Oryctolagus cuniculus: one gene and its partners. The protein of the gene in region 2 purifies or fractionates together with the protein of the main gene of each other region. This does not show direct contact. Links are inferred from orthologs where the notes say so. Each region holds a gene or a part of one and is shown on either strand. Other genes may lie near its edges.

The links. The genes of interacting proteins can lie anywhere in the genome.
Region 1: the proteins of SIRT6 (region 2) and USP48 purify together in Homo sapiens (affinity purification with mass spectrometry; 3 studies listed by BioGRID, with this or other methods). This does not show direct contact. The link is inferred for Oryctolagus cuniculus from reciprocal best matches to the Homo sapiens genes SIRT6 and USP48.
Region 3: the proteins of SIRT6 (region 2) and G3BP1 purify together in Homo sapiens (affinity purification with mass spectrometry; 3 studies listed by BioGRID and IntAct, with this or other methods). This does not show direct contact. The link is inferred for Oryctolagus cuniculus from reciprocal best matches to the Homo sapiens genes SIRT6 and G3BP1.

Annotation. Positions count from the first base shown.
Region 1 is NC_091438.1:149,261,722-149,269,239, reverse strand, and holds part of USP48 (ubiquitin carboxyl-terminal hydrolase 48), read right to left. Parts: intron 4,497-7,518; coding exon 4,372-4,496; intron 4,221-4,371; coding exon 4,098-4,220; intron 3,822-4,097; coding exon 3,760-3,821; intron 3,519-3,759; coding exon 3,408-3,518; intron 2,320-3,407; coding exon 2,189-2,319; intron 1,892-2,188; coding exon 1,785-1,891; intron 749-1,784; coding exon 644-748; intron 1-643.
Region 2 is NC_091447.1:59,688,372-59,696,659, forward strand, and holds SIRT6 (NAD-dependent protein deacylase sirtuin-6), read right to left. Parts: upstream 4,134-8,288; 5' UTR 4,059-4,133; coding exon 3,993-4,058; intron 3,255-3,992; coding exon 3,127-3,254; intron 3,010-3,126; coding exon 2,827-3,009; intron 2,719-2,826; coding exon 2,659-2,718; intron 2,443-2,658; coding exon 2,347-2,442; intron 2,266-2,346; coding exon 2,185-2,265; intron 2,035-2,184; coding exon 1,911-2,034; intron 1,837-1,910; coding exon 1,552-1,836; 3' UTR 1,309-1,551; downstream 1-1,308. Other genes in the region: CREB3L3 (cyclic AMP-responsive element-binding protein 3-like protein 3), read left to right, coding at 1-36, 129-228, 382-695. UniProt on the Homo sapiens protein: NAD-dependent protein deacetylase, deacylase and mono-ADP-ribosyltransferase that plays an essential role in DNA damage repair, telomere maintenance, metabolic homeostasis, inflammation, tumorigenesis and aging.
Region 3 is NC_091437.1:38,776,478-38,783,995, forward strand, and holds part of G3BP1 (ras GTPase-activating protein-binding protein 1), read left to right. Parts: intron 1-1,208; coding exon 1,209-1,299; intron 1,300-2,144; coding exon 2,145-2,238; intron 2,239-4,235; coding exon 4,236-4,437; intron 4,438-6,892; coding exon 6,893-6,994; intron 6,995-7,202; coding exon 7,203-7,314; intron 7,315-7,516; coding exon 7,517-7,518. UniProt on the Homo sapiens protein: Protein involved in various processes, such as stress granule formation and innate immunity. Plays an essential role in stress granule formation.

The sequences.
Region 1 (7,518 bases), on a different chromosome or scaffold from region 2:
ACTTATCCACATTAAACATCAACCACACATATTCCCACATTATTTCTTGTCCTTAAGACAATTTTCTCCAATATTACTAGGAACATGCAGAATATAATCAAGCAACTAAATGAGAGGGTAGAAAATCCCAACAGAAAACACTGTCTGAACAGAAGAATTTTAAGTCTGTTACAATGGAAAATGAAAATACATCAGCTGATCCAGTCACTTGATTAACATGTTAATTAAAGACATAGAAATGTCTTGTATATAACTCCACTATGAAAGCCATGGTTTATAACAAGGAAATCTGAGTCAAATAATTTTTCCATACTTAATCCCATGATTAAGTAACAAACCGAGATATGGGTCTTCTGTTACCGTTCTCTTCCAGCTAAAAATTTAACTGTTAGATCATATCGCAATCTTTCCTACTTGATAGCAAGAAACACACTAATTTTGGAAGAATGTGCTCCATGGCTTTCCATGAGAAATCACAACCGCTGTGGCACTGCCAAAACAAAGGGAAGAGAAAGAAAAACAAACCAAGGAAGGGAGCCGAGAACCAAGTCCCACGCAGGGTCCAGAGACCCCAGGTCTTGGAGCGGCTGCTCTCGGAGAACACCACGAAGTACAACGAAGAAAAAGCAGCGTGAACACGTACTTGACTAAAGTCTGGATCTTTCTCTCCATCTGGTTTAGCTTCTTCCTTGTCCTCCTCGGCTTCAGAACTACTCACATTCAGCTCTGGAGCAGACTCCTTCATCACCTGGAAGCCCAGGACAAGAGCAGCAGGTCAGCCACAAGGAAGGCACGCAGCTCAGGGGCTGGGGGTTCTGCAGGCAACCGCTACCCAGAGGAGGGGCACCTTCGTCCCGTGGGACAACACAGCAGAGAACGGGCCAAGAACCAAGAGCCCTGCTTTCCACGCTTGTTGAGCACTGCAGTTTTTTATCTTATAGTTACTGCACGAGCATAAACGTATGAGGCCTCTGCAGAGCAGCTACTGTTACTGATTTGAATATGATGTTATTTTGCAGAAGTTAGAAGGTATATGACACATCCCCAAGTACACAGTGAAATGCTGACACTAAACTCAAAATATGCAACAAAATTGGCAAGCCAGGTATTATACCAGAGACTGAGATATGAAGGGCCTTCAAAAATTCACAGAAAATGGAAAAAAAGGAAATTTATTTTGGCATAAAAATTTTGGGATTCGGGGCTGGCACTGGGCATAGCACCTTAAGCTGCTGCTTATGAGTGCAGGTATCCCATATGGGCACCTGTGAGTCCCAGCTGCTCCACTTCCAATCCAGCTCCCTACTGATGTGCCTGGGAAAGCAGTGGAAGATGGCCCAAATGCTTGGGCCCCTGTACCCATGTGGGAGACCTGGATGAAGCTTCTGGCTCCTGGCTCTAGTCTGGCCTGGCCATCCTTTATATGCATGGATTTCAAATATTTTTTTTTTTTTGCATCAAAATAAAGTCTTTTGATCCAATTTTCCATAAACTTTTTCAGGCACCCTCCTCCAATTTAAGAGCAGGTGCTTTGCCTGTCTTCATCACTGTATCCCTAGCAACACAACCAACCTGGCACACAGCTGACATTCAGTAGACTTCGATGTGTCACATTAATAAAAGACTAAATCCATTCAGTCATATAATTCTTTCAATTCCTGTCCAATCGCAATTCTGATGCCAACCAGTTCAGAGGACAGAAAACACCATCCTAAGATGTCCTCGGGAAGCCCACAGCAGCAAGCCTGTTCACTGCTAGTCATGGCCACAAGAGGGACCAGTACCTTTTTATTATCCACAACTTTATGGACATAGATGGTAGCCTGGGTGTATTCTCGCAGGTCCCTCTGCTGCTGACACAGTAAGCCTTCTCTGCACTCGGGACAGAGTTCTACAAAAAGGAATTATAGTCAAAGAAGCAAAGATATAAAAAACATACACCAAAATCATTAGTCATATTCATTAAACTAGCTATAACCTCTAGTAACTATTGTGTTGTATAAAAATGATAAGGACATCCACTTAATGCCCATAAACAAACATACAAACACTGAGATGTTTGCATGGTACTAGTTCTCACCCAGGGAGCATGCACATTGTCCCAGCTTTAACTTGAAGCACAGAAAAAAATACTGACACACCCTTCCCTCCTCCAGCAAGGAAACCAGAAAGCAGAATGAAGACTTACTAGGCTCAGAAACATACTGCGTTTCTGAAGGGTTTGTATCTCCCACTTCAGTTCTTGTGATTTTAATTACATGATCCACGACGAAGAGTTTTTGTATCGTTTGCCACTCACTGGGCCATATGAGAGCTATACTGTGCAAGAAAACACAACATGCCTTAAGACACATGCATACGATGAGAGCTAACAAAACCCACTAGTCTCCTAAACCAAAACCCAACACCATCACTTATCGGGAAGGAAATTAGAAGGAAAATAAAGATTATCAACAACAAGAAATAATAATTCTGTCATGCAAAGGAATGTTACAAAAGCAGTAAAACTAAACAGACTGGAGGTTCTATGAATCAACATGGTAAAACCTCTAAAACCTAAGTAGAATAAACCAAGCTTGTGGCGGAAGGGAAAATACAGTATGACAATACTTATATTTGAAGTTTAAAAAAACGAAACAAAATCCCCATGACTTTACGATGCACAAGCAGCCATATTTCAAGGAGTAATTTCTGAGTGGCTACTGGGAGAGGGCAGGAGGAGGGAGAAGAGAAGAGTCAAACAGAAGGGAGGGGAGAGGGCCGTTGGTTACATGAACTGAGCTTCCTAAATCAAGTAGGAAAATCTCTCTTTTTGTGTAGGTGTTTCAGGGTTTCTTTCATGGTTTTCTGGCAACGTTGGAGACATTCTACCTTCTCTCATACAGTTAGAAACCATTTTACAAGACAAAATGCAGCGCCAGGGGCAAGATCCACAGACAAGCCCTTTGGGAAGCGAGTGAGCAGTGGAGTCAAATGTCAGTTGTGGGAGCCGCGGGGGACGCTAGGCTCAGCAGCTCTGCTAAGGTGGACACTGTCCTTCCCTGGCTTCCAACAGCTGGCAGCTGCATGCAAACTCACAACTGAGACCAGGCTGATCGTGTGGCTGGGGAAGAGAGGGCCACCTGCAGCCACAGCACTGCTAATCAGCCGCGGGGGAGGAGGGAACAGAGAACACAGGAGTGGGAGCAGCCTCTTGCCTGTACTGGAGAAGTAGGTTTGCTTTCTTTTTTGATCTTATAAAGGTTTAAGTGCTCACTCTAGTAGTGCATTAAACAAACGTGGAAAAGAGGGAAGAAAAAAACAAAAAAACCCACAATTCAGTCAAGGACTAGATTCTTAGACTATGTCAGAAGAGAAATGCCTTAATCATTAGAAACAGAAAAACCACACGAAGAGAAGAAACTCACAGTTTAGAATCTTCTTTGGTCATGGACGCAAATGTAAACATGAGTCCCCCGTGGGGACACAGGAGGGCACTGTTTCCCACCGAGGACACGGGGCTACATCGAGCAGGCTTCCTATTCAAGTAAGACAAGGAGGGCAAACAGAGTTCATTACTGCAGGAGAAAGACTTTTTCAAATACTTATGTAAGAGTCTTAATAATTAAATGTGTGACTTAGAGCTACTCATTTAACTTCACAGAGAAAAGCAAGCTCTCAGGGTACCCTCCTGAAAGTAATCATGCAGGTACACAAACAGAATCCAAGAACATGGGAGACAACCCAAAATGAAGGAAATAGAAAATGTCTGGTTTCTACCTAACAAATTTCCGCCATTCTTCCACAAAAAACTGCGACACTATATAGAGGACGTCCGTGTCCTAGAATATGAAAACCACAAAAAAAGGGCACACTTTAATTCATCGCATGCTTAGCACAAACTGTTCATGAGAAATACACTGTGATTTTCCTTGTTGGAGTTTTATAATAAAATGGAAATGCAGCCATCTAATAAGAAACATCCAGCTGGGGTACATCCCCCGAGCAGGTTACTGAACAAGTGAGAATGAGCTAGGCTGTTCTTCAGCACTCTCAGGAATTTGGCAAGGGCCTGAAAAGGCCAAGTTGAATTCCTTTCTTTGGGGGGATGACTGTACCTCTGGCCAGTTACTGAGACACGGTCTGTTTTTGTCCTGGAACAAATTTGGGAGAGAAGTCTTCTGCTCGTTTGCAATCATCTTATGTAAGGCTTCGTTTTCTTCTCCTTCTCTTTCTAAAATCTGGAAGAAAGTGAAGCAATCAACTGTCTCTTGCTGACAGCCCAGAGCTTGCCTCCCCTACTCCCTCACCTGAAGCACAAGGTTAATTCCCCTGGGAAGCTATTCCAGGCAGGCGCACGCCCTTTCCTGGGATGTCAGTGGAGCTCTGTACCTTGCATTGGGAACAGCATTCTCTGTAACTTGGAAACTCAGGAGCCTTTGGGAAGTATTGTTGTAGCTTGCTCCAAGCCTCTTGAGAAACAAGCCTTCTTTCGTTTTCAGATATGCATAACTCTCCTGAGTGGGAAAGAAATTACATTTGAAAACAAGAGAGAAAAGCTGAAAAAAGACATTATAGGTTTTCGGTCCCTTCTTTTCTAAAGTGGTACATTTCTCTATTTTCAAAAACCTCTGTATTTTTAATTCTAAGAGATAGCCACCAACCTCGATTTCATGTCCTCAATCTAGGTCTGTAGTGGAAAGATCTGAAGACAAAAACCAGTGTGCGTTTTCTCCCAGCCGGCAGGAAGGAAGCAGTACAAAGGGGCTTCCAGGGATCTCCCACTCTCTACCCCCACAGAAGAAGGTCACAATTTCCTGCAGACTTTACTGTCTCCATTTTGAGTGCCAATGACACTGTTTCCAAGGCTGTCTCCAGCCCTTGCTTCAGAGATCTCATTGGATCTTGAAAAATTCCAGAAGGCAACAAGAATAATACTTGTTATGGCCATGGCCACTCCTGCTCTTGTCAGCAGATGGCAGGAAGGCCAGGACCAGGGCGCCGCCCCTCTGCAGCCCAGGGCCTCCCAGCCAGCTCTCCAGGGCCTCTCACCTGGCTGTCTCTGCTTCTGTTTGTAATCGTTTCAACTGTTCCCAAGTGGCAAATTAGTGAACTGCACTTACGTCCGATGGAAATCATTACCCAGGGAACTGTACCTTTGCATTTCCAAAGGCACCTATGGATTTATTAACAGTAATCAAGTCAGCAGCTTTTCGAACACATGAAACACTTTGTGTAACATCAACTGAGAGGCAGGGATGAACAAGGGTCACTGGCTGGGAAGCTGCAATGCTGCACCAGGAACCCAGGCCTACCTCCACCAAATCTCACGAATTTCTAATACCCATGCCCTGCCTCTGAGCTTTGAATTATCCAAAAGGGAAAAAACTAACAAACAAACAAACAAAAAAAAAACCATGATTTTCCTGCAACAAAGTTATTACTAGAGAAATTAGGTCACAAGGTAAAATTTCACTTTATTTCTAAGTAGGCTGGTAATTCAAATTTCCTCTGAGGCTATGAAAACTTACTCCAACATGACTATCCTCAGACATAATTAGGGAACTTATTTTCTTTCTTAAAAAAAGTTAATTGGATTGTTTAGCCCCAATTTAGTGGTCCTAGGACTATGGTGAAATACCAATACAGCCATAAAAAAGATTTAGGTACACCAGGCAATTATAATTTTAAAGTGGTTTCCCATGTTTTTCAAAAAAGGATTCAGTTTGAGCCAGAATTATGGTGAAATGGGTTAAGCTGCTGCCTGTAATGTCGGTTTGAGTCCCCACTGCTACTTCTGATCTACTTCTCTGCTAATGAACCTGGGAAAGCAGTAGAAGATGGCTCATGTGCTTGGGCCCTTGCACCTGCGTGGGAGGCCTGGAAGAAGCTCCTGGCTCCGGATCAGCACAACTCAGGCCATTACAGCCATTAGGGAGTGAACCAGCGGATGGAAGACTTCTGTCTGTCTGTCTCTCTGTGCTTCTCTGTAACTCTGCCTTTCAAATAAATAAATCTTAAAAAAAAAAAAAAGTGACAGCAACACAAATCTCCCCATGCACTTCACTGTGTCTATCTGCGGACAATTTCACAGACACTGTGGATGTACCCCCCCCCACTTTTTTTTTTTTTTTTTTAAAGATTTACTTATTTGAAAGCAGAGGTGAGAGGGGGAGAGAGAGAGAGAGATTTTCCATATAATGGTTCACTTCCACAAAGACCACAACAGCTAGGTCTGGGCCAGGCCAAAGTCAAAAGCCAGGATTTCCGTCCTGGTCTGCCACATAGGTGGCAGGGGCCCAAGTACTCGAGCCATTGTCCACTGCCTTCCCGGGGCATCAGGAGGACACTGGAGCAGAAGTGCGCAGAGCTCAGGCTGGCACTCTGGCACGCGATGCCACATTCCAAGTGGCAGCTGAACCTACTGCGAGCCTGCGCCTGGTGTCCCTTGTGACGATGGGATACTCCAAGGAAGAGACTGTGCCTGTGTGCCTGTGACCTACTCATGATTTCAAAGCAGAGTAACAAAGTCATTCTGCAATCAGAAAACAACCTGAATAGATTGTTTTACTTCAGTCTGGTTGGTAAATAAACACAAAGCCCTTCGTACTGCTTCTTAGTCACATTTCTAAATCCAACGTCCTATTATTTTAATAACAATATTTAATATATTTGAATGTGGTCTAAAATCTCACAATAATTAACTTTTACTTACGATATGTTTAGAAACTGGATTTGTATCATGCAATAAATGATGTTATTTCTTAAATTTGAAAAGATAAAGCCAATTAACTACACCTGTGCCTGAAGTGAGCACTCATTAAGACCAAGTAAGACAAGGACACACATAGGACCACACAGTGCTGGTTAAGAACAACTAGTACACAGTCAGACAATAGATGTCAAAGAAATTAAACCATCAATAGCCCAAATAACAAGAAGAAATATATAATGGCAGAGTGACAAAGGGAGAGAGAGACAGAGATATTCCATCTGTTGGTTTAATTCCTAAACGATAGCAACAGCCAAGTCTGGTCCAAGATGAAGTCAGGAGCCATGAGCTCCATCCATAACTTCGGCCAGCTTCAGCTGCCTTTCCAGGCACATTACAGGAAGCTGGACGGGAAATGGTGCAGCCAGAACTCAAACTGGCACCTGGATACAGGATGTGACAGCAGTGGCTTAACAAACTGGCTGTGCCACAATGCTGGCCCCTAAAAGACTGCTCTTCAAATTCAAAAGTGCTTCAATGTGACAAAAAGTTTCTTCTCTAATGATTTCCTCTGAACATGGAGGGTTAACTACTAAATTAAAAAAAAAAAAAAAAAAAAAAAAAAAAAAAAAAAAAAAAAAAAAAAGACTTTTCTTGCAAGGTAAGAAGAAAAGGGTGAGACTTTGGCACCGAAAGCCAGTAGAAGCTGACACTGCAGAAGGGTACGAAAGGAAAGGAGGTTTGGCAGAGTGGTGAGGATGCTACATGGGACACCCCCACCCCACATCACAAGCTTGAGGCCTGGTTCTGCTCCTAACTCCAGCTTC
Region 2 (8,288 bases):
GCGGGCAAGTCCGCGCAGACCGGGACCTGCATCGCGGTGAGTCCGAGCCGGCCGCCCGCGGGCGGGGGCGGGGCTCCGGGGCTGCGCCGCCTCCTCGCGGGGCTGCTGACCCCGCCCCCTCCCGCCAGGTGCTGCTTCTCTCCTTCGCCCTCATCGTCCTCCCGTCCATCAGCCCTTTCGCCACCCCCAGCAAAGCCGAGAGCCCCGGGGACTTCGCGCCCCTGCGAGGTAGGCACCGCCCCCCAAAGCCCCTCTCTTGCGGTCACCGTGGACGCCCCCCGCCCCCCATCCTGGGCCTTGGGGGAGGAGACCCCTGCACTCCTGTGCCCCGAGGCTGGCGGCTAGGGGAGGGACGGCCGCTAAGCCCCGCCCCCACCCCAGTCTTCTCCAGGACACTGCACAACGAGGCTGCGGCCCGCGTGGCCCCCGACGCCACGCCAGGCTCCGAGGCCCCAGGACCCCAGCCCGAGGCCGGCGCGCCGCACCCAGGGTCTCCAGGCCGCCCCGGGGAGGACTGGGGCTTCCAGGACCCGAAGGCGCTGGACAGCTCCGCGGGGCCGATGGACAACTCCACCTTGGTTCTGGGGGACTCGGGGGAGGAGCTGGGCCCGGCCACCCTGCTGGACTGGGTGGCGCCCGAGCCGGTGCTCAGCGCGGGCCGCGCGGGGCTGGAGGCGGCCGGGGGCGAGCTGTGAGCGCCGCGCGCGCCGGGCCTCTGCCAGGACGCGCGAAGCCCCAGGGGCGGCCCCGCGCCGCACAGCGACTGCTCCGGCCTCCCTCGCGGCTGCGGGGACCCCGGCCCCGACGCCGCCGGGGCGCACGCCCGCCCCTCTTTTCTAAGATGCCTTGTTCCTTAATAAAGTATTTTGACCGAGCTCGCGGCTGGCAGCGTCAGGACCTTGGAGAGCGGCCGCGGGCGCGCGGGCGCCGTCGGGGCCTGGAGCGGGGGTGGGGGGCTGCTTACAGGGGCTCCGCGTCGGGGACCAGCGGCGAAGACCCCGCACCCCCCCTCGGCCCACACCCGGCTCCTCCTGAGTCCAGCCCCCTGCCGATGGGCGCCCAGTGCCGGCTCAGGCCCCGTGGGCGGCCTTCCTGGAGGAAGCGGCCGGGGGCCCGCCCGTCTCGGGAGGAGCGCGCCTCAAGCCCTCCCAGCTGGGGGCAGGTGGAAACCCGGGCCCCTCGTAGTGGGGCCACGCGCAGGTGCAGCCGCGCTCAGACACGCGGGGGTGGGCAGACAGCGGCCGGACAGGCGGCGGCGGGGCGGGGGCTCCCGGGACCACACAGCCCCAGCCCGGTGCGCATCGAGGGTCCGAGCCACTCCTGCCTTTATTGCGTCCAAGCCTGGAGGAAGCCGGGGTCTCCGCGCCGGGCTGCCCCCCCCCCCCAGGGTCCCTGACGCCCGGGGCTGAGGTCGGGGCTGGCGTGGGGGAGGGGTCCCCGGGGCCGGGGACGTCCGCTGTGTCTGGGCTGGAGCTGGGAGGGCGGCTCCTCGGGGGAGGGGCCCCCAGGTGCGAGTCCGTACCCCCCCCCGCCCCCCGCCGCCCGCTGGGGTCAGCTGGGGTCCGCCTCCGCCTTCACCCGCTTCGGGGGCCGGCTGGGGGCGGGGCTGTCCGGCGCCTCCCGCTTGGGGCTGCGCTGGGGCTCCTGTTTGGGGGCGGAGCCGTTGAGCAGGGGGCGGGGCTCGAGCAGGGGGGCCGGCGGGCGGGGCAGGGGCGGCAGGGCACGCTCCAGCACGCGGGGCCCCTCCCAGGCGGGGATCGGCAGCCCCAGGTGCTTCATGAGCTGCGTCATGACGTCATCGACGTAGCCGTGGATACGCAGGTCTGCATGGCGGTCCTGCGGGGGGGGCACAGAGGGGTGAGGCGGGGCGGCCACGGCGGCGGGGGGCCGGGTGGCGGGGCGGCACCTACGTGCTTGGTGGGCTGCAGGTTCACGATGACCAGGCGCCCTCCGCGGCGCTTGGTGGCCAGCGGCAGGTTCCCACTGGGCCGGATCTGCAGCGAGGTCCCCAGAGTGATGGACAGGTCCGCGTTCCTGGGGGGGGGAGCCGGCTGCTGGGCCGCCACCTCCAGGTAGCCCTCCCGGACTTCGCCCAAGTCCCTGCTGGCTGTGTCTCCCCGTTTCCTCCCCCCGCCACTGTGAGCGCGTGGGGGTGCGGTGGGGGCGGGGAGGCAGGGGTCAGACCTGCTGGCCTCGTCGGCGAGGGCCAGGTCCCGGTCGGGGAGGGCGTCTTCCCAGTCCAAGATGGTGTCTCTCAGCTCCCCCCTGCAAGGCAGAGCGGGTGGGGGGTGCAGCCGGGGGCGGCTGGGGGGCGGGCGGGGGGCGGGGAGGCGGGGGGGGGCTCACCTGCAGGCCCGCAGCCCCCGGGCCTTGGCCACGGTGCAGAGGCGCCCGGTGGCCTTGAGGCCCATGCTGCCCACCACGGCGTCGCGGACGTACTGCCTGCGGGGGGAGGGGCGTGCGGGGAGGTGGGGGCGCGGCCCGGCCCCTCCCTCCCGGGGTCCCTGGGCGCCTGGAGCCACCTGCTCTGGGGGAGGGGCCGGTCCCAGCTCCGCCTGCGGCCCCGGAGCCCCGCGGGAGTTCAGACAGGGGCTCTGGGTCTGGGGCAGCCCTCGGCCCTGAACTTGGCCTCCACGGCCCGCGGACGGCCCCACTCACGTCTTGCACTTGGCACACTGTTCCACGAACATGTTCCCGTGCAACTCAGCCAGCTTGTCCCTGCGGGAGAGGCAGACGGAGGCTCCGGCTCGAGGCCGCCGCCTCCAGGAAGCCTGCCGGGACCGCTCGCGCGCCGCAGCTGCCCGCACCCCCCGGGGCCGGCGGTACCTGGGGAAGCCGGAGCGCACGTGCAGCCCGTCCACGTTCTGGCTGACCAGGAAGCGCAGGAGGCCCACGCGCTGCAGCTGCACCAGCGCCATGTGCGTCTGCGTGGGCCGCGCGCTCTCGAAGGTCGTGTCGAACTTGGGCGCCAGGCCGCGCTCCTCCATGGTCCACACGCCGTGGGGGCCCCTGGGGCGGCGCGCAGGGAGAGGGGGCCTGGGACTCAGGGCGGGGGGCGGGGCTGGCGGCGCCCTGGGCGACCCGGGCGCTGGCCCTGCCGCGACGCGCCCTCCCGCGCCCACTGACCTGAAGTCGGGGATGCCCGAAGCCGTGCTGATGCCCGCGCCCGTGTGGACCACCACGTTGGCCGACTGCCAGATGAGCCAGGCCAGCTCCCGCACCTTGCGCTCCAGCTCCTCGGGCGGGTCGAAGATCTGGCGGGCGGGGGCGCAGAGGGCGCGGCTCGAGCGCGGTGGCCCCCTGCCCCGGCCCCCTCGCTGCTTCTGCGCCGCCGCTGGCCACAGGACCTTTGCACGGGCCGTGTCCACAGGGACCGCCCCCCTCGCCGCCGCCTTGCCCCGCCAGCTGGGCTGGTGTCAGTGCGCCCCCTGTCTGTGCCCGCACTGGAGTGGCAGCTGCTCGGCTGGCTCGCCCCCCACCCCAGGCTCCGGGCCCAGCCCCCAGCCCCCAGGCTCCGGGCCCAGCCCCCAGCCCCCAGCCTGCGCCCGGCCCACAACAGGTGTCCAGTGAGTTCCGGGACAGGAGGAACCACACCAGCCCGAGGCGTGGGGCTCCCGCCGGCACCCGCAGCGGGGCCCGCCTGCCCGGGGAGGGGGCCCTCCTCGCCCCCTCCCACCCCGATTCACAGGAAGGGGGCGTGGAGACCCAGGAGGAAGTGGGGGGGGCGTGGAGAAGCCGGGGGTCGCCCCGCTCGCCCTCCCGGCCGACTCCCAGCTCGCGCCCCCTCCCCATCACCCCGGGGACCCCGGCCCAGCCCCCCCACCCCGGGCAGCCGCGCTCGGGGTCCCCGGCGCGCGGGGGGCGTCACTTCCCGCCCCCTGGGAAGTCCCTCCCCTTGTCCAGCCGGGCGCCCCTCGGTGTTCCCGCGATGCCCCGCCCGCGGCCCCCCGGGGGCGGCCACGCTCACCTCCGCCGGGGGCGGCCACGCTCACCTCCGGGAGGCCGCACTTGCCCTTGTCTGCGTACGGCGACAGCCCCGCCGCGTAGTTCACCGACATCCTGGCCGCCCCGGCGGGAACAATAAAGTTTCCCTTGTTGAGGCGGCTTCCGCCGGAAACGGGGTGGGGCGGGCAGGAAGGCGGAACCGCGTTGACGGACGCGCCTGCCGGGGCGCATGCGCGCGCGTCGCGCTGACGCCGCGGACGCCATCTTAAGTACTGGCAGGGAGGGAGCCCGGCTTTTGCAAGCCCCTGGGCTGGGGGCGGGGAGTTGCAGCGGCTTCCCGCGTGAGAGGTGGCCCCGAAATGAGGGCGCACAGCGCTCGGGGGCCCCTTGCCCTTTTTACTGATTAGTGAACCTGACGCAGATGTGCCCTGGACTCCATGCAGTTAGGGTCCCCGGGGGGCGCTCTGTGGTCCCTGAGCCTTATCCCGGGGGATTGGCCAGTAGGCAGCTGGACAGGTCACGCATGCTGCGCACCTACTGTGTGAGGGGCCTCAGAGGGGGCTCCTGCCCCAGCCTGGGGCATCCTGGAAGGCTTCCTGGAGGAGGCAGGCCAGGAGCTGGCTGAGGTGCCCAGGGCAGCCCGTGGCTCCTTCCAGAAACTGAAACCCAAGCAGTGGGGATGGGGGGAGCACGGCGTCTCCCCCCCAGCCTCGTGGCCAACGGGCAGCCCAGCTGCCGCCTGTCCCCTCCCTCGCTCATCCCCAGCCTCGCGGCCGATCGGGTGTCGGAGCCAGCCGGGCGCCGGGAGCCGCGGGTATCAGCTCCAGGCCCAGCTGGGAGCGGGTAACCGGAGCCGGCGGTGGGCACGGGGCACCGGAGCCGCGGGAGGTAGGCGAGGGGCCTGGGGTGGGGGCTCCACTTAGGTGAGAGGCAGGGCCGGGGCCGAGCTGCACCTGCCGGCGTCCACCGCGCCTGGGGGTCGCAGCCCCACCCTGCCTCCCCGGCCCGGCGCTTTGGGGACACGGAGGACCCCGGCCCCTCCGCTGAGCCCAGGGACTCCCACGGCCCAGGCCGCCTCTCGGGCAGGTGCAGGGCGCCCCGCCCCTACTCCCTGGCAGGAGGCCCCCAGGTAGGGGTGGTCCTTCCCCGGGGACCCCCCTCTCACGCAGCGCCCCCTGGAGACGCCCCGCGGGCCTGCACGCAGGTGGACGGGAGGGAGTGGGGTCCCGGAACCCGCCTCTGCCCAGAGGGGGCCCCGGGAGGGCCAGCGGGGGCGGTGGGGGCCAGCCTGCCTGTCCCTGCCCTCCGGGGTGGGGTCCCGCCCCCCCTGCCACCCCTGCCCCTCCCCAGGAGGCCCGGAGAGACGAGGCGAGGGGGACACTGGGCATGAAGACCCTCCGGGCGCGATTTAAGAAGACAGAGGTGGGTCTGAGGCCGCGGGGACCCCTGAAGCCCCCCACCCCGTCCCCTCCTGTGGCCGGGCACCTGCTGGCCTCTGGGCTGTCGCCCCGCCCCCTGCCGCCCCGCCCTCGCCGTGTCCAGCACTGGTCTCCAGGAACCGCCCCCCCACGCAGATTTCTGCGCCCACGGCTTTGCCGACCCTCGCGAGTGTCCACTGCTCCCCCTGGGCCTGCGGCGCGGGGAGGGTGGGTGCGGGTTTCCCGCCGAGCGGATGGTTCCAGCGGTCCGGGAAGGCTTCCCGGAGGAGGTCACCTAGGTGCGAGGGTCCGAGGGGAAGAGGGAGGGAGCCGCCTTGGGGTGCAGGAGATGGCCAGTGCCAAGGCCCCGGGGTAGCACCGGGCAGCCTTGGGTGGGGCCGCCCCAGAGAGGGAGAGGCCCCTGCGTCTGCCTCGCCCCCCCCCCCCCAGGCCCCGCAAGCCAGTGTCGGGCCCCGAGCCCCTCGCACAGCCGACGTCAGAACGCTCGGGTTTCCGCCCCGTGGCCGGAGCGCTCCGGGGGTCTGCCTGGAGGAGGCAGGCCAGTGATGGCGCCCAGGAGGGAGCACCCGGGCTGGGGACGAGCCTCGCCCCGTGGCCTCAGGGCAGAGGCAGGGCTTTCAGGCGGGAGCAGGGTGCGGGGGCGCTGAGGGGTCCCCGGGACCCAGAACGCGGGGCCGCTGGGGTGCCCATCCCGGGTCAGAGCCCCTGGCTGGCGTCCTGGCTCTGGGCTCAATTCCAGCTCCCTGCTGTGCAGCCTGGGCCCCGCCTCCCACCTGGGAGCCCCGGATGGAGCTCCTGGCCACCGGCGTCCACCTGGCCCGGCCCTGGCTGTCGTGGGCACCCGGGGAGGGACCCAGTGCGGGGGGACCTCTGTCCGTGTCTCTGCCTTCCGAATAACTTTTTTTAAATGTGAAAGTCAGGGTTAGGCAGAGCGAACTTTGCTGGCTGGGGTAGGGCCGTTGATGATCCCTCTTTTTTTAAAATTTATTTTATTTATTTGAGAGGCAGAGACAAGTCTTCCATCCCCTGGGTCACTCCCCAAATGGCTAGAGCGGTCGTAGCTGGACCGGGCCACAGCCAGAAGCTCCATCCGGGTCTCCCACGCGGGTGCAGGGGCCCAAGGACCTGGGCCATCGTCCACTGCCCTCCCAGGCCCTAAGCAGGGAGCGGGACTGGAAGAGGAGCAGCCGGGACTCGAACCGGCGCCCGTGTGGGATGCGGGCGCTGCAGGGCGTGCCCTTAACCCCCTGCGCCCCAGCGCGGCCCGGGACCCCTGCTTTATAGAGGGGAAGGCGGCGGCTGGAGGCCACAGAGCCGGCAGGAGACACCGCGCCCCCCAGCCCTGTGCGGGCGGGGGGGGGGGGGAGGGGCGGCACAGTGCACCGCCTGCGCCGCGTGGCCCTTCGCGGGGTGACCGTGGAGTTTCTCGCGGAAATCCACACCGCTGGCGGCCGTCCCTGAGTGGTGGCGGCCGGAGGCGGGGACCGAACCCCCGTCGCCGGGTCGTGGCTGGAGCGGTTGGGTTTGCAAGAATCCTGCAGCTCGGAGGAGACCCCTCCCCAGTCTGGCGGCCTGGCCCTGGGCGGGGGCGGGGCCCAGGCAGGTGGGAGGCCTGGTGGGCGGGGCCTCCAGCCAGCCCCTGCCCGCCCGCGCGCGCTGCACCTGCGCTCCTCCCCCCTCCTCCTCCGGTTTCCCTGCCCGGACTCAGGTTCGCCTTTTGTTCGGAGCCCTGGCGGGGGGGGGGGGGGGGGGGGGGGGGGGAGAAAGCCGACACCGGAGTGCGTGACTGCGGGGGGGGGGGGTGCTGAGCCTGGCGCCCCGCCCCCCGCTCTCCGCGGCTCCTCCTCCCCCCACCGGCCCTGCCCGCAGGCCCTGACAGGGGGCGATTCCACCGGCGGGGGTGGGGTAGACGGGAGGGGGGTCTCAGTGCTGCCTGACCGAGGGCGCTGTCCTCTCCTCCCCCCTCCCTCTCTCCCTCTCTCCCCCCTCCCTCTCTCTCTCCCCCTCCCTCTCTGTCTCTCTCCATTTACCTTTCTCTCTAATTCATTCCATACACACAGTGTGCACCTGCTGTGTGCAGGCCCCGTTGAAGGATTTGATGCCAGGTGGGGGCAGGGGCGGGGTGGGGGGCTCCCACGGCCACACTCAGGGGGTCTGCGCTTGCGTTAACCCTGTGCTCTCCGAATCTTGGCTGGGAACGCGGCACTGACCGAGCTGGACAAATCTGCCCTTTCTCTGAGCCCGGAGCCTGGAATGCCTGCGTCCTGTATCCGCAGGGCCCGGGTTCGAATCCCGGCTCCGGCTCCCTGCCAATGTGCAGCCTGGGAGGCCGCAGGTGATGGCAGGAGCACGCGGGTCCCTGCTGCCCACAGGAGGCCTGGGCTCCCGGCCGTGGCTGCTGCAGGCTTGGGGGGGGGGGTGCGGCCGTGGCGGAGAGCGCGCCGTGTGTCTCCCAGGAGCAGAGACCAAGGCCAGGTTCTGCCTCGGACGATGGTGTCCACAGTGGGGTCGGGCGGCGGGAGGCGGGCTCTCTGCTGTGGTGCCGGGCAGGAAGGGACCTGCGTGGGTGCCGGCTCGGCCAGCTCGGCGTGGGAAGCAGGTGGCGCCAGCAGGGTGGGCTGCGGGCGCGGAGGGGCGGGTGCGGAGCGCCGGGCAGCAGAGGGTCCCGGCTTCGCAGCCGCCGGGCCTCCAGGGCTGCATCCAGGAGGCACTCAACAAACGCTCAAGGCATTGGGGAGCGTCTCTCCAGGGGCCGATCGGGTGCGGATCTGCCAGGCACCTGCCGTGTGCCAGGTACTGTTCCGGGCGCGGGGACCCTGCGGGAGGGGTGGGTGGGCGACAGGCAGGACGGCGAGGAGGAAGCTCCGCGAGGATGCAAGATGGGGCGTGGTCAGGCGGAGGCGT
Region 3 (7,518 bases), on a different chromosome or scaffold from region 2:
AATCATAGTTATTTTCTGTTTAGGGAGGTGAGCCTAAAACCCATAGGCTTGGGGCCAGTGCTGTGACTCACTTGGTTAATCCTCCATCTGCGGCGCTGGCATCCCAGATGGGCGCCAGGTTCTAGTCCCGGTTGCTCCTCTTCCAGTCCAGCTCTCTGCTGTGGCCCGGGAAGGCAGTGGAGGATGGCCCAGGTGCTTGGGCCCTGCACCCCATGGGAGACCAGGAAGAAGCACCTGGCTCCTGGCACAGCGCTGGCTGTGGTGGCCATTTGGGGAGTGAACCAATGGAAGGAAGACCTTTCTCTCTATCTCTCTTTCACTATCTATAACTTTACCTGTCAAATAAATTAAAAAAAAAAAATTCTTGTGTAAATAAAGTGACTTTTTCTCTGATTTACTTGAAGTCATGGTCATGATTTTTAGACAAAGGTTTATAAAAAGTGTAGACTTGAGGGAGTTATAGATATGTGAAAAATTACATGAAGTGTGATTGTCAGTGAACAAGTTTAGTAATTCTTTTTTCTTAAGGGAAATACCTTATTTCAAACTAGTGTACTAAGTGTAAATGGTCTCACTTTAGTATAAATTATTTAAGCTGTCTTATTTAATATGCAAGGCATTGATGTACGTTAATATCCCTCTTTTGTACATGAGGAAATAGCCTTAGAAATTGAATAACTAGCAAATGACATAGTGGAATTTCCACTCAGGTATGTGTTAAGTAATGTGAGCAAGGTTTTTTTTCAGCTGCGCTATCTAGAATGTGTGTATCAGATGTCCCAGGATGCATATTTAGGGAATTTTAAGTATCTGTTAAAAGGATAATGTGAGTGCTTGTTAATGATTTGGGATGTAGACTGTGGCATCTGACCATACTCAGACTTTTTGAGCAAACAGTGTATTTTAGTGTAGTCTTTCTTCAGTCATAGTTAAAATAGGGGTTTTCAGTTGAGGCAGTGTTGACTTTTTGGGTTAGTTTTTTTGTTTAGGGCTGTGTCATGTGCATGGTACGCTATTGATAGCATCCCTGTCCTGTACTCAGCAGTTGCTGGTACCACTCTGCTGTGGTGAAGACTCAGATGTCTCCAGATGTTGGCACATGTCTTCCAGGGGAAGAATTGCCCGCAGTTTTAGGAACCGCTGTTGTACAGGGACCTGGCTTTTTAGAAGTCTGTTGAATAAGTGAAAATTTTTTGTTGGCATTGCAGGGTTCTGTTGCAAATAAATTCTATGTTCACAATGATATCTTCAGATACCAAGATGAGGTCTTTGGTGGCTTTGTCACTGAGCCTCAGGAGGGTAAGTACTCAAATACTGTAAGTTACTTGGTTAAATTTTTTAATTGTATCAGACCTTAAGAGACTGGGTTTCTTAAGTGTTGTCATTATACTCTGTTCTTTATCAGTTACTAGTGAACAGGTTAGCTTTTTCATGTTGAGATTGGGCGAAAGCATAAGACACTTAAAAGTGGACAGGTCTATTATACAATAGCCCTACCCTGCAGAAGGCCTGTTGACACTTGTACTACAGTGTACTTGGGTTAAAGGAATGCAGCCCTGACTTTAAGGAACCTAAGTCTTTTATAAGGTTAGTAAACATGATTGTGTTTTGCAACAGAGGGAAGTACTCTTCTTTTCCAAAGCTGTAATATTGAAAATGTCTGGAATCAAATGTTGTTGAAAAATAGCCTGGAATAAAGGGTAACTGTAGGAAATGGACAGAAACCAAAAAACCTGTAGAGAATAACCTCCAAAATGGTAATATTTGAGTGTTTTCTATGACTGAGATTGTTCCAGAGCTGTATATATTCTGTAATACACAGCTTTATAAATAGGTACTTTGGGTACCATTGTCCTCATTTAATAAATTTGGGCACCATGGGGCAGTAATGTGATAAAACTAGTAAGACAGTGTAGCCTCTATTCGATGACTTCAAATAGGACTTGACTCCATGTTCTTAATTGAATTAGTACCGCAGTCTTCATTTTCTCTATTAATTTGTGATATGATTTTACCAAATTGCCTTTAAAAAAAAAAAAGTGTGTGTGTGTGTATGTGTATGGTATTTCATTGTCTTTTTGATTGCTCACAATAAATACACTGAAACAGAACATTTTTTTAAGTATCTTTTCCTTCTTCCTTAGAATCTGAGGAAGAAGTAGAGGAACCTGAGGAAAGGCAGCAGACACCTGAAGTGGTACCTGATGATTCAGGAACTTTCTATGACCAGACTGTCAGGTAAGGAAGATTTTTAATGATTTCCCAAAAGAAGGGTTTTGCTTTTGGATATGTGGTTTTATTTATTTATTTGACAGATAGAGTTAATAGGAAGAGACAGAGAGAAAGGGCTTCTTTCCGCTGGTTCACTCCCCAAATGGCCATAACAGCCAGGGCTGGGCCAAGCGGAAGCCAGGAGCTTCCTTCGTGTCTCCCATGTGGGTCCAGGTGCCCACACACTTGGGCCATCTTCTGCTTTCCCAGGTCATAGCACAGAGTTGGGTCGGAAGAGCAGCAACTGGTACACAAATGGCACCCATATGGGATGCTGGCACTGTAGGCAGAAGCTTAGCCTTCTGTGCCATGGTGCCAGCTCCAGTTTTTTTTCTTTTTATGAAATTTTATTTGTTTGAAAGGAAGAGAGAGAACAGAGCCAAAGATCTCTGGTCTGCTCTTGTTTCCCCAAATGCCTGTATTAGCTGGGGTTAAAGCCAGGAACCAGGAACTTATTCCAGGACTCCAGTATGGCTGGGAGGGATCCAAGTACTTGCAGCATCACCTGCTGGCTCTCAGGATGTGCATTAGCAACAAGTTGGTATCAGAAGTGGAGCCAGGACACAGACCCAGGCTCTCCAACAGGGATATGGGCATCCCAGGTGGTGTCTTCACTGTTGTACCAAGTGCTGACTCTTATTGCCTTTTTTTCCCCCCTTGTTGACCACATCAAACATGAATGGAATTTCTTATCAAGAATTTAATTCATTGAGGTATTGCATTAAATACTTTGGGGGGGGGTACAAAATGTACAGGTATTGGAGATTAAGCATAAATTGACATTCACATGTGAGAGTAATTTTAGTATCAGTAATTTCATTACCACAGTGAGTGTATCATTGTGTCATAGGTTCTTTTTCTCTTGAATTGGAAAAGAAATGTGTTTTATAGGAATAGACTGCATGTTTATACTTGTTAACATGTAATGTCCCGAATGTTTATAATTCAGTGCTTAAAGAATATTTTTAGGTGTTTCTCAAGGTGTAGTGATGGACTAACTGTATTACTCACTTGGGTGGTTGGGTGAAAATGAAGATGCATGGTCCTATCCCAAACCTGTTGAATTAGAATTTTGGGAAGAAGAAGAGTTCCTGGTGATTTAGTTGGAACTTGAAGAATTTCCTGTTCTGGGGCCTGGTACTGTGACACAGTGAGTTAAGCTGTTGCCTCTGATGCTGGCATCCCATATGGGCACCAGCCCTAGTTGCTTCACTTCCGATTCAGCTCTCTGCTAATGCGCCTAGGAAAGCAATGGAAAATGGCTTAAGTGCCTGGGGCCCTTGCACTCATGTGGGAGATCTGGATGAAGCTCCGGGCTCCTGGCTTCTGTCTGGCTTAGCACTGACTGTTTGTGGACATTTGGGGAGTGAACCAGCAGTTGGAAGGTCTCTCTGTCTCCCCTCTCTGTAACTCAGCATTTCAAAGAAATAAGTAAATCTTGAAAAATATTTACGGTTTTGAAGCAATATTAATGATTTTTCTTTCTTCTGAAATTTTTTGAATTTTATTATAAGAATTCTGTGGGTGGTGAAATTCACATATAAAACTGAACCATTGTAACCATTTTAAGTCTGCAGCATAGTGGTGTTAACTCCATACACATTGTACAGTAGATCTTGAGAGAATGTTTTCATCTGGCAGAATAAACTATACCTGTTGAGAACAGAACTTTGTCTTCTCCCACCTCCCTGCCTATTACATTTGACGTTTTTGTTCTGTTGTGTGAGGAGTAAATTGTAATAGTTTCGGGATTGCAGCTGAATGATAAGTAAAGGTTTTGACTCATGTTCAGATTTTGCCAGTAAACTGATTCTAGTTAAGATTTGTTCATTGAGTGCTTTTTATTTTAACTCAGGTGTACAATTCTTATTTGGCAAGAGGGAGCTATTTTTGTCCGTAATTGAGAATTTTCTTGTAAGACAGGGGAAGGCTGAATGATTATTTTTTGTATTTTCTTGTGAAAGCAATGACTTGGAAGAACACCTAGAGGAACCCGTTACTGAACCAGAGCCTGATCCTGAACCAGAACCAGAACCAGAACCTGTCTCTGAAATCCAAGAGGAAAAGCCCGAGCCAGTATTAGAAGAAGCTACTCCTGAAGATGCTCAGAAGAGTTCTTCTCCAGCACCTGCAGACATAGCTCAGACAGCACAGGAAGACTTGAGGGTATGGAGAAGGCTTCACTTGTCTATTTCTACTTTATTTTTCAGAATTTCTTTTCTCCTCTACTGCTGCTTGGGTAACTTCCTCCACTGCTTACCCAGGTGCACTAGCCAGGAATTGGGTCAGAAGTAGGATGCCAGTGCTGCAGGCTGGGGCTTTAACCCCCTATGCCACACCACTGGCCCTGCTTGGTTAACCTTAATACTTAACGTTTTCATTTGTGGTTTAGGATACCTTTTTTTTTTTTTTTTTTTTTCGACAGGCAGAGTTAGACAGTGAGAGAGAGACAGAGAGAAAGGCCTTCCTCTCTGTTGGTTCACCCTGTAAGTGGCCGCTACGGCCAGCGCACTGCACCGATTCGAAACCAAGAGCCAGATGCTTCCTCCTGGTCTCCCATGAGGTTGCACGGCCCAAGGACCTGAGCCATCCTCCACTGCACTCCTGGGCCACAACAGAGAGCTAGACTGGAAGAGGAGCAACCGGGACAGAACCGGCACCCCAACTGGGACTAGAACCCCAGGGTGCCGGTGCCACAGGTGGAGGATTAGCCTAGTGAGCCGTGGCACCAGCCTAGGGTACCTTATTAAATATTGAGCCATCCCTCAGTTAAGAAGGAAGATGCCTATTGCTTTTTAACAACATAAGTAACTGCCCTGCCCCCCTTAACTTGCATACCTATTGCACTATAAATTTCAGGTGCCATTTTACCACTATGTCATTGTAAAATATTTCATCTTTAAACTGGTAAATATTTGTTAAGCAAATGGATATCATTTTTTTTAAGATAACATGGTGAAATCTTGGTAACAGTAGTAGTAGGAAGGTAACTTCTAATTAAAATGTCTGATTTCAGAAGTTTGAAGCTTTTCTGTTACCTCTCCTGAGTCCCATCAGTGTGTGTGGAAATACTGACTTTTGCTTGCACATTTCAAATAGGTTGATTGGGTCGAGAGTGGATGATAGTATAGTAGTGCAGTTAGAGAGATGATAGCTTGGGTTATGACTTGGCAGTGGAGATGGAAATGAAATAATTGGGTCAAATAACAGGTTCTGATGATTTTTTAAGTGGGCAGTTTTAAAGTGTTCAAGATGATTGTACACTCTGTATAATTGGATCCATGTTTGTAGAGTGGATCAGTTCAGTCATGAAGAGCTGAGCTAGTTTTGGGGAGAGAATTTTCTTTGATTCATAAACTTGAAATTGACTAAAAGTAGCTTCCTTTTTTCTAATTTGGCTGATGCCAAAGAATCCCCCTCCTTCTCACCCAGCCTGAAGCAGTGTTATTTTCTCGGCTGCCACCAGGAGAGTGCCTGTGGTGTGCTGCCAAGTTGGTCTGCCTGGTGCTCTGACACAGGCAGCAGCTGCTCCTTCTTCCCCCAAGGAATTATAATAACTAAATATTGAAGAGGTGAAATAAAGAAACCTCAAGGAACTCCATCCTGCCTATAAGAATTATTATGTGTATACAAAAGGTATTCTAAAAGTTCATGAAAAATGCATATTATGAAAAAACTATAAATGGATTTTACCATTTTTTTTCTTTTGATCTTGGGAATGGACATTTAACCTATGTGGTTAAGATGCCCACCTCAGAGTACCTGAGTTTGATTCCTGGTTATGGTGTCTGTCTACAATTTCCTGCTAGTGTATACCCTGTAAGACAGCGGTGATGTCTCAAATAGTTGGGTTCTTACCACGTATGTGGGGGACATGATTGTGTTCTTGGCTTCCACCTTTAGCCTGACACAGTCCCAGCTGTTGTAGGCACTTAGCATGAACCAGTGGCTGAGAGCTCTCTGTCTCAGATAAATTAATACTAGAAAACTTTCTTAAAATCCATTTTCTGTTAATTTTTTAAAATATTAAGGTGTACAGATTCATGTATTTCACATATATAGATTCAGGGACATAGTGATACTTCCTATCTTACCCATGCTCTCACCCTTTCTCTTCCCTCTCCTGTTCCCACTCTTAATTTTTACATATATCTATTTTCAGTTTACTTTATACTCATAAGATCAACCCTACACTAAATAAAAAGTTCAACAGATAGTATGAAGGAAGAACTGTTCCTCAGCATTAGCGACAAGGGCTGTAAATGATCATGAAATCTCAGAATGTCAATTTTCACGCCAATACATTGCAGTTTAGGTACTCAGTTACCGCAGATCAGGGATAACAGGGTATCTATCTGTCTTTTTGGGATTGACTTATTTCACTAAGTAATGGTTTCCAGTTAACATTCATTTTGTTGCAAAAGACAGGATTTCCTTTTTCTACTGGTGAGTAGTATTCCATAGTTTATCTAGTCATCAGCTGATAAACTGATTAACTTATTTTAATTATATTTTCTGCTAAATTTTTGAAGCGCCTTTGTATTTATCTATAGGAAATCAAGAATGGTAGCTCTTCTGTTTTGGAATATATTGTAACCATGTTATGTTGATGTTCCCTTAGACATTTTCTTGGGCATCTGTGACCAGTAAGAACCTTCCACCCAGTGGAGCTGTTCCAGTTACTGGGATACCACCTCATGTTGTTAAAGTTCCAGCTTCACAAGTAAGAGTTTATAAACACTTGCACTCAGGCAAATTTACAGTTACATTCATAATTTAATTATACAGAGGTTTTGAGAAGGTGGGAATTGGTATATAGGGCAGAGCAGGGTAGAGAGTTTTCATTTCCTAGCTTGTCTTTATATTGTTAGCTGTGAAATTTACAAGAAAAATGCTACACTTGCTTTGTTCTTTACAATAATGTTTTTCAGCCCCGTCCAGAGTCTAAGCCTGAATCTCAGATTCCACCGCAGAGGCCTCAGAGGGATCAAAGAGTGAGAGAGCAACGAATAAACATTCCTCCCCAGAGGGGCCCCAGGCCAAGTAAGAGCTTGGAAGGGTGATTTCTATTGTCTGGGGTAATTTGAGGTTAGGGCTTATTTGGGGGGGGGGGGGCAATTGTTATTTGTGCACTCTAAAAATACTTCAGGTTAATTGGATTGCTTGTATCTGGAGTGCAGGGAAGACAGTTGTGTTAACAGTCCCTGTTTATCTTGACTTTGATTGGTATGTTTGTTTCTTTAAGTT